3 linked regions of the Macaca mulatta genome follow. The protein of the gene in region 1 purifies or fractionates together with the protein of each later gene. This does not show direct contact. Links are inferred from orthologs where the notes say so. Each region holds a gene or a part of one and is shown on either strand. Other genes may lie near its edges.

Region 1 (4,216 bases):
TGACAGAGTGAGACTCCATCTCAAAAAAAAAAAGATGTAACCCCTGCCCTCCAGGATGTCACAGTCTAATAGGTAAACAGCCAAAGAGACGATTATAGGGTGATCCGGGCTATGACCTATGACAGAGGGAAGTCAACACTGCCAAAGAGACGAGGTAAGGAGTTGGGGTGTGGTGGTACAACAGGAAGCTACAACTGGAAAGATGTAAGAGCAGACAAGGGGGAGCAAAGGGTATTTCAACAAATTTATTATTCTAGAGAATAGACAGAAAAATAAATTGACTGGTAAAGAAATAACCACCAAAAATCTATAGCCTAACTGATCCCATGAGATTAAAAGTAACATGAGAAGGTTTTATGCTATCTTATCAAAAGGTCTGGGTTTTGTGGCTTCATTTTGTTTTCAGATAAAAGGTTTGGTTCTTAAGTCACATGTGACTGCAGAATCCACAAAGTATGTCTCAGTTTGATCATTTTCAAAAAGAAACACTTATCCCGTAACTGCCACTACCTGACTGTAAGGACAACAGATGATAACTTTCTCTAAGAGAGTGAAATGATGTTTTATCCAAAATTCCTTAATAATAATAGAATGGCTCAGCTACTCAAATCACTGGAATTACCACCATTCTTCACCACTTGCTGCTGGACTGTGGGCATTTAAATGCCAAGCATCGGGCTGACCGCAGTGGCTCATGCCTGTAAATCCCACTGCTTTGGGAGGACTGCTTGAGCCCAGGAGTTTGACACTAGCCTGGGCAACATAGTGAGACTCCATCTGTCCCCACAAATTTTTTTTTTTTCTTCAGACCAAGTCTCGGTCTGTCACCAGGCTGGAGTGCAGTGGCGCCATCTCGGCTCACTGCAACCTCCACCTCCCAGGTTCAAGCGATTCTCCTGCCCTCGGCTTCCCAAGTAGTTGGGACTACAGGTGCATGCCACCACACCCAGCTAATGTTTGTATTTTTAGTAGAGATGGGGTTTCAACATGTTAGCTAGGATGGTCTCTTGACCTCGTGATCCGCCTGCCTCGGCCTCCCAAAGTGCTGGGATTACAGGCGTGAGCCACCACACCCGGCCCACAAAAAATTTAAAAATTAGCCAGGCATAGTGGCACATGCCTGTATTCCCAGTTATTCAGGGGGCCGGACGTGGTAGGATCACTGGAGCCTGGCAGGTAGAGGCTGCAGTGAGTGGTGATCATGCCACTGTACACCAGCAGGGCGACAGAGCAAGACCCTGTCTCAAAAATAAAAATAAAAAATAAAATAAATGCCAACACTCACAAAGTATTACAGTGAATAAAATAAGGTATTGCCTTTTATGTGGCAAATGACCTTCCTGATTACTAGTAAGTGATGTTAGAAAGTTCTACCTAAATATCTTTGTGAAAACAAGTTCTAAAAGGCAAACAACTCTATCATTCTGAGAATATCCAAGTGGAATGAAATCACTTAAAAGGGTTCCCACTTTGAGCAACTGCTGTTTCAGAAGCTAGAGTCACAGTAGATAATCAAACTCATGTTGGTAATAAATGAAACAGGCCAGTTTTCTACTGGTTTCACTTTAGGGCATGACTGTCCCTGCTTCCTAAGTTACTCTAAAACAGGGCAAAACCCACTAGATAACTGCCTTTGGTGAAAAGACTAACTCAATAGTGAGCTGACTCTGTAGAGTCAAAGTTCGGCATGCTAGCATTTTATGAGATTTGTAACAACTGAAGTTTAAGCCATACTTTAAAGCTCATCCTTAATAATATATGAGTTTTTTAAAAGCAGAAATTATGATGCTTCGAGAACACTAAAGTGTCTTGGGATGAAGCAGGGGGAAGAAATCTAAGTTATTAGTCTTAATATGAAGCATATACAATCCATAATAAAGCTGTTGGTAAATACATGCAAAATGTACTGTCCTCTGCCATATAGTACAAGATATCTGCTAGGACAGCAAATGAAAATAGACTTGTATTGAGCCCTCCTTTGGGCCTGGTATTGCAGGGAACAGATGCAGACAGAAATATACTAATCCCTGACTTCAAGGAGCTTATGGCCCAGTGAGGGAAAACAAAAGCAAACAGACAATTACAACAGAGACTAACAGTGCTTATGAGAGAGGTTAGCACAGGAGGATGAGGTTGAGCCTAACCCAGCTGGGGGCTGGAAGAAGTAAGAGTTAGCCTGGCAAAGAAAAATAAAGGACTTTTCTGGCAAAGGGAACACTTGTGTATAGGCATTGAGATTAAAGATAACCCAGCAGTGAAAGTGGAGAGATAAGCAAGGACCAGCTCACAAAGGACCTCATATGCCATGCTAGGGAATTTGGAATTTATTCTGTAGACCACTGAATAATTTAAGTCTTATTAATGGACATCTAATACCATGTAGCAAGGCCACACTTAAAAATACATATGGGGCTCCTACCATGAGCTAGATGGTAGGAAATGGTGATGCAAACAGACATGATTTCTGCAATCAATCACTGGCTGGGTGCAGTGGGTCACATGTGTAATCCCAGCACTTTGGGAGGCTGAGGCGGATGGATCACTTGAGGTCAGGAGTTGGAGACCAGCCTGGCCCCAACATGGCAAAATCCCGTCTCTACTAAAAACACAAAAATGACCCGGGCATGCTGGCATGTACCTATAGTCCCAGCTACTTGGGAGGCTGAGGCAGAGGTTGCAGTGAGCCAAGGATCATGCCACTATACTCCAGCCTGTGTGACACAGCGAGACTCCATCTCAAAAAAACACAAAGTTGTATTCATACCTCCAGGTCCTTTCGAATGCTCTCAAACTCTTCAATGTCATCAAGCTTTAGCTCTAGGCGTGTTGGTTTTCGTCTCAGCATACTGAAGTCAACACTAAGGGCCAAACCCAGTGAACTATTAGCTGATAAAAATGAAAGAGAGGAGGAAAAACTGAAGGTAATAAAGTCTCAGATACAAAACATAAAATCAGTTTGCAAGCCTGTGTACTAAAGTGAATGGAAGTATTAAAACTTTATTTGAATTCACACAGACTTCTAAAGTCTTTTTAAGAGATGGGATCTTGCTCTTTGCCCAGGCTGGAGCACAGTAGCATGACCTTAGCTCACTACAGCCTCAACTTCCTGGGCTCAAGCAATCTTACTGCCTCAGCCTCTAGAGTAGCTGGGACTACAGGTGTACACCACCATATCTGGCTAATTTTTGTGTTTTTTGTAGAAATGGGATCTCTCTCTGATGCCCAGGCTGGTCTCAAACTCTTGGGCTCAAGTGTTCCTCCCTCCTCATTTTCCCAAAGTACTGGCATTATAGGCAAGAGCTACTATACCCAGCCAACTTCTAAAGTCTTTAGGTATATGATTATTACATTTTTATTACATTATGGAGATCTACAGCTCTGTAAAATCAAAAACTCTTTCAGTAAGAATTTAAAATAGCAAACTATCACTTTAATCTCATGTTCTAGTCACATTCAAAGAAATACTCTAGCTAAAAGAATAAACTATCACATCTCAGTATAGTTAGAGGGGAAAGTGGACAAACCAGTGAATTTAATCTACTCTACGTGAGAACTGTCAGAGATTTGTGATCACTCCTGAATGCTAAAATCAGTTTGCTAAATCTCATGAAGACTCCAACTCACCAATTCACAGGATTATCCTCAGCGTCCAAACAGATCCTAAATGTGTGTACGTCATTCATTAAACAAACACTTCTTGTGCTCCAGCTACAGAATTAAAAGGTACAGTCATAATCTGTGGGGAAAATAAAGAAAACTGTGATATCATATAACGAGAACCCTAATGAGGATACTGGCACTGGCATCACACAGGCACCTAATCCAGTCTGGGCTGAGTGTGGGGTGGACAAGGATGTCAGGCAAGCCTTCCTGGAGAAAATGATATCTTAGTTGACTTCTGAAGGGCAGGCAGAGAGAAGAGTGCACAAGGAGGCTCAAGACCAGCTTTGGCAACATAGCAAGACCCTGTCTCTACAAAAAAGTAAAAAAATTAGCTAGGCTGGTAGTGTGTACCTGTAGTCCTAGCTACTCAGGAGGCTGAGATGGAAGGATCACTTGAGCCCAGGAGTTTGAGGTGGCCACAGTGAGCCATGATCTCACCATAAGACCCCAACTCAGAAAAAAAAAAAAAAAAGAAGAAGAAGAAAAGAGGTTCAAAAGAGCATTCCACAGCCTGAAATCCCGAGGTAATACTGTGTTAACAAAAACCATTTTG
Region 2 (3,496 bases), on another chromosome or scaffold:
ACATTAGGGATTTTGGTCTTTCGGAATTTTAGCATTTGAAATTGTGTCATTTAGGAATATGATCCAAACCCATTTGACATTTTGTTGTCAGAGGCTGTGCTGTGCATTGTAAAATGTTTACAATGTAAAATGTCCATGGCCTGCACCCACTAGCAGACAGTAGCACCTTACCCCAAATCATGACAATCAAAAACACCCCCAGGCATTGCCAAATGTCCCTTGAGGAGCAAAATCACCCTGTTCAGGACCACTGGCTTACATACATGGATTAACGAGATGGGAGGTAAAGCGCCATATAGTTTAGGACTGGAATGCCACTCTCTTGAGCATCAGATCCATGTTTCCTTCCATACCCTATGATGAAGACCTATAAATCATAAACACAACTCCCATCAACTAAGAGACCAACAAATGCAAGACACATAAATACAGGGAAACTAAAGAATTCTTTTATTTAGTGGGAAAGAAGTAGGTAAATGACAGACAGCTCATATTCTGTTAAACAGAAAAAAAAAAGAATACAAACATCACAGTGATGAATTTTCACAAAGCTAATAGATTTGAACTACAGAGCAATGGAATATTTACAAGCAAGATGTCATGGTATTAATGACCAAAGTGCATCCAAATAGGTTTTCTAAGCTCAAAAACATTTAAAATCTCAGACTTAAAATTTAAATCTATATATAACAATTGTAAGCACACCACTCAGTCGTTTAAAACTATTCAGTGACTGCTACTCCTGCGTAAATATTTTTTTCCTAACATTATTTTTTTTCTCCCAAGATTTAGAATGTCACATCTCATGTTCCTACTAGTCATCACACACAGGATTAAAAAAGCCCAAGCAAGAAGTATTTTTTTATAATGTGTTCTTAAAAGAAGAAAGAAAAATTAAATGTGAACATTTTGTACAATAGTTGCTGAAGAACAGCAAAACCAATTCCGAAATATCACGTGTACTATACAAAAAGGTGTGGCTCACGGAACCAAGTATATAACACTACAGCAGTTGAATATCAGTCTTTAAAGGTTGGTAATATTACATCCTGTACACAGCTCTGTGTCTCTCTACCTGGCTAGCGCATACCCAGAATCTGTCTGCTTTTTAGCTGGTAATTTTTTTCAATATCTGACAGGGCTTGAGCCCGCAGCTGGGCAGCATGAAGCCTTTTCTTCAGATCCTTGCACTTGGACTTAGACGTGAGCTGACTCTCAGAATTCTCACTCCTCATGACGTTCTCTTTACTTTCCCCACTGAAATGAACTTTCTTCTTAATTACTGAGGATGGAAGATTAAGAAGTTCTTTAGAAGGAAAAAGAAAAAGGGCTTTGAGTTACTTGAACAGAGTTCAACTCCTTCATACTTATACTTATCAAAAAGTATTTGCTCTTATGGTTCACATTTGAAATCTAGGTACCTGTTTTATTTTCTCTGGGATGGGAGGTTAGGGGTGTAGGACCGGCAGAAATCAGCCTTTTAATCCACAGCATTGAAAAAATATTGGAATGTGCCGAAATTCAAGGAACATAAGTTTTGTTCTCTTAACAACGAACAATCAATTTTACTCTTAAAGTTAAACACACTGAGTATTATGGACAATATAAAACTTTTGGAAATCAATGTTATTTATCTCTATCCTTGAAAATAAGTGCCATTCTATGCAGAACACCTTACCTACAGAAAAGTATAGAAGCACAGTTTGTGGTTTTTTTTTGGTTTTTGCTTTTTGTATATATTTTTTAAAATAGAGAACACCTACAGTTTTGGTTAAATGTTCAAGAACTTAGTTCAAAGCATCTTAACTGACCAGAAATTTGTCTCCAAAAAACCTAAACAAATTCGGTGTGGAAAACATAAATCAAGTAAGAGTAGTAAAAAATGTAAACTATTCTTTTCATGGAAAAAATAAATAATAATCTTATTTACTTAAAGTGGCAACACTATTAACTGCTGACAGAATTAGTAGGGGCTGGAGGCCTAAACAGATTCTAGATCTTTTTATTTTTCCTCTGTATGTTCAAATATTTATTGAGCTCATAGGATGGGCCACTGTGAACCAAACAGGCCCTATTCTAGTAGGAGGAGATAAACCAAACACAAATAAACAAGTACTGGTGGGGAATATTTGATGGTAATATGTGCTATTAGGAAAAATAACCCTGGAAACAGGGACATGCTGGGTGGTAGGTGTAATGATACAAAGCCTCATACGGTCATTTCTGAAGTAAGAAGCCACAGGGCTATCTGGATGAAGAGTGCTCCAGGCAGAAGAAATAGGAAATGCTGGCACACAGATGCACTGCCTTCCAAGGGTCCTATGAATTCCTGCTTCATACATCGCTTCTGCTTCAAAGCAAACTGGATTGCCTTTAGACTTTATCTCCACTGTTTCAAATCTATCCACCTTCTTATTATCACAAATACCTATAGATTTGTAAGTCAACATTGTCTTACTGACGGGATAGTTTTGTTTTTGTTTGAGATGGGGTCTTGCCATGTTGTCCAGGCTGGAGTGCAGTGGCTATCCACAGGTGCAGCTGTAGTGCACTACAGCCTCGGACGCCTGGGCTCAAGTGATCTTCCTGCCTGAGCCCTCAGAGTAGCTGGGACTATAGGTGCACCACCACACCTGGCTCTTAATGGGATAGTTTTATAAGAAAAAAGTGTTTTTAAAAAATGTTTAAAATTCTTCCATTAAATAGAATAATGACTATTTCATCAAATAAGAAAAGAAAAGTTTTAAAAAAAGATACTGCTGCTTGCTGTGATGATTTCAATACACTTGTGATGGCTTCCTCATGTGTGGATTTTATAGCCCAAGGATGGGGAGAGGATATTTCCAACTGTCCTGAGTTCAGAATAGTACCAGCTCCCCACTGCTATGATGCTTATCTTATAGCTCTGATGTGTTCACTACTTTCAGCACTCAATACTCTAAAATGTCTGCTTGCCCCAGTGGATACTTGATTCCTATGGCTCATTTTAAATACTTGCCATGATTCACATATAAGTAGATTCCCATACTTATCTGTGTATCCTATAAAGTAAAACACATCATGCTTACTTAGCTATTTTCATCTTTTGCTCAAAGACTATCAGGGCAAATGTAAATAAACTCTTTAACTGAAAAGCCATCCCCAACAGGGTCTTAAGTAATTTCCTGCAATGGGTTTGATGCATGAAATTCATCCAGTATAATTTTCTCCTCATTTTATCACCCTAATCATGATTTAAGTATACTTTGTCTTTATGGATGACAGTGTGGAATCTATGAAAAGCCAAAATAAATATGTTTATAATATTGAAATGGTAGATGGCAATATTGAGAAAAAAGAAGGTATCTTAACAGAGATCAAGCCAAAGTTTCATACAATCTTTGTTTCATTTACTTCTATCAGTAGTTTCATTTCTTTCCATCACTTGTTCACTACAAAGTTATTGTGATCATCAATCTAACTTAAGTAGGGTTTTTTGTCTGTTCCATTTACAAAA
Region 3 (3,567 bases), on another chromosome or scaffold:
GTGAGTAGCGTTTGCTATAGAAGCTGTGACAGCTGGAGACAACAAAAAAACAACAAAAAAACCCCAGAAGTTATTTAAGAGAAGACTACAAAGAAACTTCATCCAAAAATCATATTGAAGGCCCTGAACATAATCCTTATTCCAAACCACACTTACAGTTTTAACCTATGATATTAGTAGAAAAGCAAAACAAACCAAAAAATCCACTAAATATTTATTTTTAAGGGGAAATCTTGATACAGAAGGGACAAATTATGAAAAAGAACCTATGATCTAGATATTAGTTATTAGCAGAGAGGCATTAGGAGAATTTGTAAAGCCAGGTTAATAACAAAGGAGCATCTTCTGGCCCCATCACTGATGGCTCAGTACTAAGCACAACGCATTCACCAACTCAGTTAATGCTTAACCCTAGAAGGAGAGGTTATTAGCCCATTTTCCAAATGAGAATACAGACCTAGATAGATAAATAATGCATCCAGAGTCATAAACCATGATTTGAATCCAGGACTGATTATCCTTTTAAAAATATATACATATACTTATATGTGTGTGTGTGTGTGTATATATATATATAGAGAGAGAGAGAGAGAGAGAGAGAGACAGAGAGAGAGAGAGAGAGAGAGAGAGAGAGAGATTGAGAGAGAGAGAGTCTTGCTACACTGCCCAGGCTGGTCTCAAACTCCTGGCCTCAAGTAATTACCTCTTTTAATTTTATTTATTTATTTCTGAGACAAAAACTCACTCTGCTACCCATCTGGAATGCAGTGGCACGATCTTGGCTCACTGCAACCTCTGACTCCTGGGTTCAAGCGATTCTCCTGTCTCAGCCTCCCGAGTAGCTGGGATTACAGGCGTGCGCCACCATGCCCGACTTTTTTTTTTTTTTTTTAGATGGAGTCTTGCTCTGTCACCTAGGCTGGAGTGAAATGGTGTGATCTTGGCTCACTGCAACCTCTGCCTCCCAGATTCAAGCAATTCTCCTGCCTCAGCCTCCCAAGTAGCTGGGATTACAGATGCCTACCACCGTACCTGGCTAATTTTTGTATTTTTAGTAGAGATGGGGTTTCATCATGTTGGTCAGGATAGTTTCAAACTCCTGACCTCAAGCGATCCACCCACCTTGGCCTCCCAAAGTGCTGGGATTACAGGCGTGAGCCACCGCACACAACTTTTGTATTTTTAGTAGAGACGGGTTTTGCCACGATGGCCAGGCTCGTCTCGAACTCCTGGCCTCAAGCAATCCGCCTGTCTCAGTCTCCCAAAGTGTTGAGATTACAGGCATGAGCCATCATGCCTGGCCAGGCGATTACCTCTTAAACCTGAGCTTTCAATTTATATTCTCTTCAGGAGCAACCACAATCTCTTAATCTACTGACAACTGGGGAGAAAGAAGGCATAATCATACCCAGAAACCACCCACGGTTCTGCATGCTGATCAGAGATATTGAAAAGGCGGCATCCAAGGTTCTCAACATCCTCCAGCCGCCCTTCTCGTGCCAATAGGTAGCCATATACATCCATTCCTAGAAAAGGAGGACACAGAAGAGGTGTTTTAAGCAGAGAAGCAGGGGTCCCACATACAGGAGTAGCACCCAATATCAGACCCCATGTTGAGGCCCCAGCTCCTGCAGGGGCTAAGCCCTTTACACCATCACAGGCTCCTCCCACTACTATTTCCAGTTTCCTACAAAGTGACTATTAAAATGCAAAACCCAGGCCAGGAGCAGGGGCTCACACCTGTAATCCCAGCACTTTAGGAAGTCAAGGCAGGTGGATCATGAGGTCAGGAGATCAGGACCATCCTGGCTAACACAGTGAAACCCTGTCTCTACTAAAAATACAAAAAATTAGCCGGGCATAGTGGCACGTGCCTGTACTCCTAGCTACTTGGGAGGCTGAGGCAGGAGGATCACTTGAACCAGGAAGGCGTAGGTTGCAGTGAGCCGAGATCACGCTACTGCATTGCCTGGGCAACAGACTGAGACTCTGTCTCAAAAAAAAAAAAAAAAAAAGAAAATGCAAAACCCAGCTGGGCATGGTGGCTCACACCTGTAATCCTGGCACTCTGGGTGGCGGAGGCAGGAGTATCACCTGGGCCCAGAAGTTCAAGACCAGCCTGGGCAATATGGTAAGACCCTGTTCTCCACATAAATTTTAAAATATTAGCCAAGTGGTTGGGTGTGGTGGCTCATGCCTGTAAACCCAGCGCTTTGGGAGGCTGAGGCAGGCAGATCACGAGGTCAGGAGTTCGAGAACAGGCTAACAGGTGAAATCCCATCTCTACTAAAAATACAAAAATTACCTGGGCATGGTGGCGTGTGCCTGTAATCCCAGCTACTCAGGAGGCTGAGGCAGGAGAATCGCTTGAACCAGAGAGGCGGAGGTTGCAGCGAGCCGAATCACACCATTGCACTCCAGCCTTGGCTACAGAGCGAGACTCCATCTCAAGAAAAAAGAAGGGCCAGGCGTGGTGGCTCATGCCTGTAATCCCAGCACTTTGGGAGGCCAAGGCAGGTGGATGACGAGGTCAGGAGTTCAAAACCAGCCTGGCCAAGATGGTGAAACCCCGTCTCTACTAAAAATACAAAAAATTAGCTGGGTACAGTGGCAGGCGCCTGTAATCCCAGCTACTCAAGAGGCTGAGGCAGGAGAACTGCTTGAATTCGGAGGGCGGAGGCTGCAGTGAGCCGAGATTGCACCACTGTACTCCAGCCTGGGCGGCAGAGTAAGACTATGTCTAAAAAAGTAAATAAATAAAATAAAATAAAAAGAAAAAAAAATTAGCCAAGCACAGTGGCACATGCCTTTGGTCCCAGCTAGTCAGGAGGCTAAGGCAGGAGGATTGCTTGTGCCCAGGAGGTCAAGGCTGCAGTGAGCTATGTTTGAGCCACTCCAGCCTGAGTGACAGAGTGAGACCCTGTCTCTAACAACAAAAACAAAACCAAAAACCAAAGGAGGCTGGGCATGGTGACTCACGCCTATAATCCCAGCACTTTGGGAGGCCGAGGCGGGAGTTCAAGACCAGCCTGGCCAAGGTGGTGAAACGTTGTCTCTACTAAAAATACAAAAACTTGCTGGGCATGGTGGCACACACTTGTAATCCCAGCTACTCAAGAGGCTGAGGCAGAGAACTGCTTAAACCTGGGAGGTGGAGGTTGCAGTGAGCCGAGATCGCGTCACTGCACTCCAGACTGGGCGATAGAGTGAGACTCTGTCTCACAAAAAAAAAAAAAAGACAAAACAAAAAAACAAAGGAGCAGAACAACCTACCTCACAATTTGAAAGCCTGCAATTTTCAGGAAGTGTTTGCCCCTCTCTCCTGTGGCGTGATATACAGCTACCCGAACCCAACCCAACCAGAAAAGGCCCAAAAAAAGGCATCAAGTAAGGTTCCTCTTTCAAGAGTTCTAGACCATCAGAAACATGCTGCTGAAAAGCCAGTCAGTCTCAGAAAAAGTTGGCCTATTCCCAAAAAACTTGTAGTTCTATCCAAAATGTAGTTCATTAAAGATCACCACCTCGGCCAGGCGCGGTGGCTCAAGTCTGTAATCCCAGCACTTTGGG

What was found.
Region 2: the proteins of CDC26 (region 1) and NEK2 purify together in Homo sapiens (affinity purification with mass spectrometry; 3 studies listed by BioGRID and IntAct, with this or other methods). This does not show direct contact. The link is inferred for Macaca mulatta from reciprocal best matches to the Homo sapiens genes CDC26 and NEK2.
Region 3: the proteins of CDC26 (region 1) and ANAPC7 purify together in Homo sapiens (affinity purification with mass spectrometry; 5 studies listed by BioGRID and IntAct, with this or other methods). This does not show direct contact. The link is inferred for Macaca mulatta from reciprocal best matches to the Homo sapiens genes CDC26 and ANAPC7.

The regions. Positions count from the first base shown.
Region 1 is NC_133420.1:45,041,198-45,045,413, reverse strand, and holds the start of CDC26 (anaphase-promoting complex subunit CDC26), read right to left. Parts: upstream 2,846-4,216; coding exon 2,765-2,845; intron 1-2,764. UniProt on the Homo sapiens protein: Component of the anaphase promoting complex/cyclosome (APC/C), a cell cycle-regulated E3 ubiquitin ligase that controls progression through mitosis and the G1 phase of the cell cycle.
Region 2 is NC_133406.1:69,400,984-69,404,479, forward strand, and holds the end of NEK2 (serine/threonine-protein kinase Nek2), read right to left. Parts: intron 1,307-3,496; coding exon 1,080-1,306; 3' UTR 508-1,079; downstream 1-507. UniProt on the Homo sapiens protein: Protein kinase which is involved in the control of centrosome separation and bipolar spindle formation in mitotic cells and chromatin condensation in meiotic cells.
Region 3 is NC_133416.1:117,550,614-117,554,180, forward strand, and holds part of ANAPC7 (anaphase-promoting complex subunit 7), read right to left. Parts: intron 1,527-3,567; coding exon 1,409-1,526; intron 33-1,408; coding exon 1-32. UniProt on the Homo sapiens protein: Component of the anaphase promoting complex/cyclosome (APC/C), a cell cycle-regulated E3 ubiquitin ligase that controls progression through mitosis and the G1 phase of the cell cycle.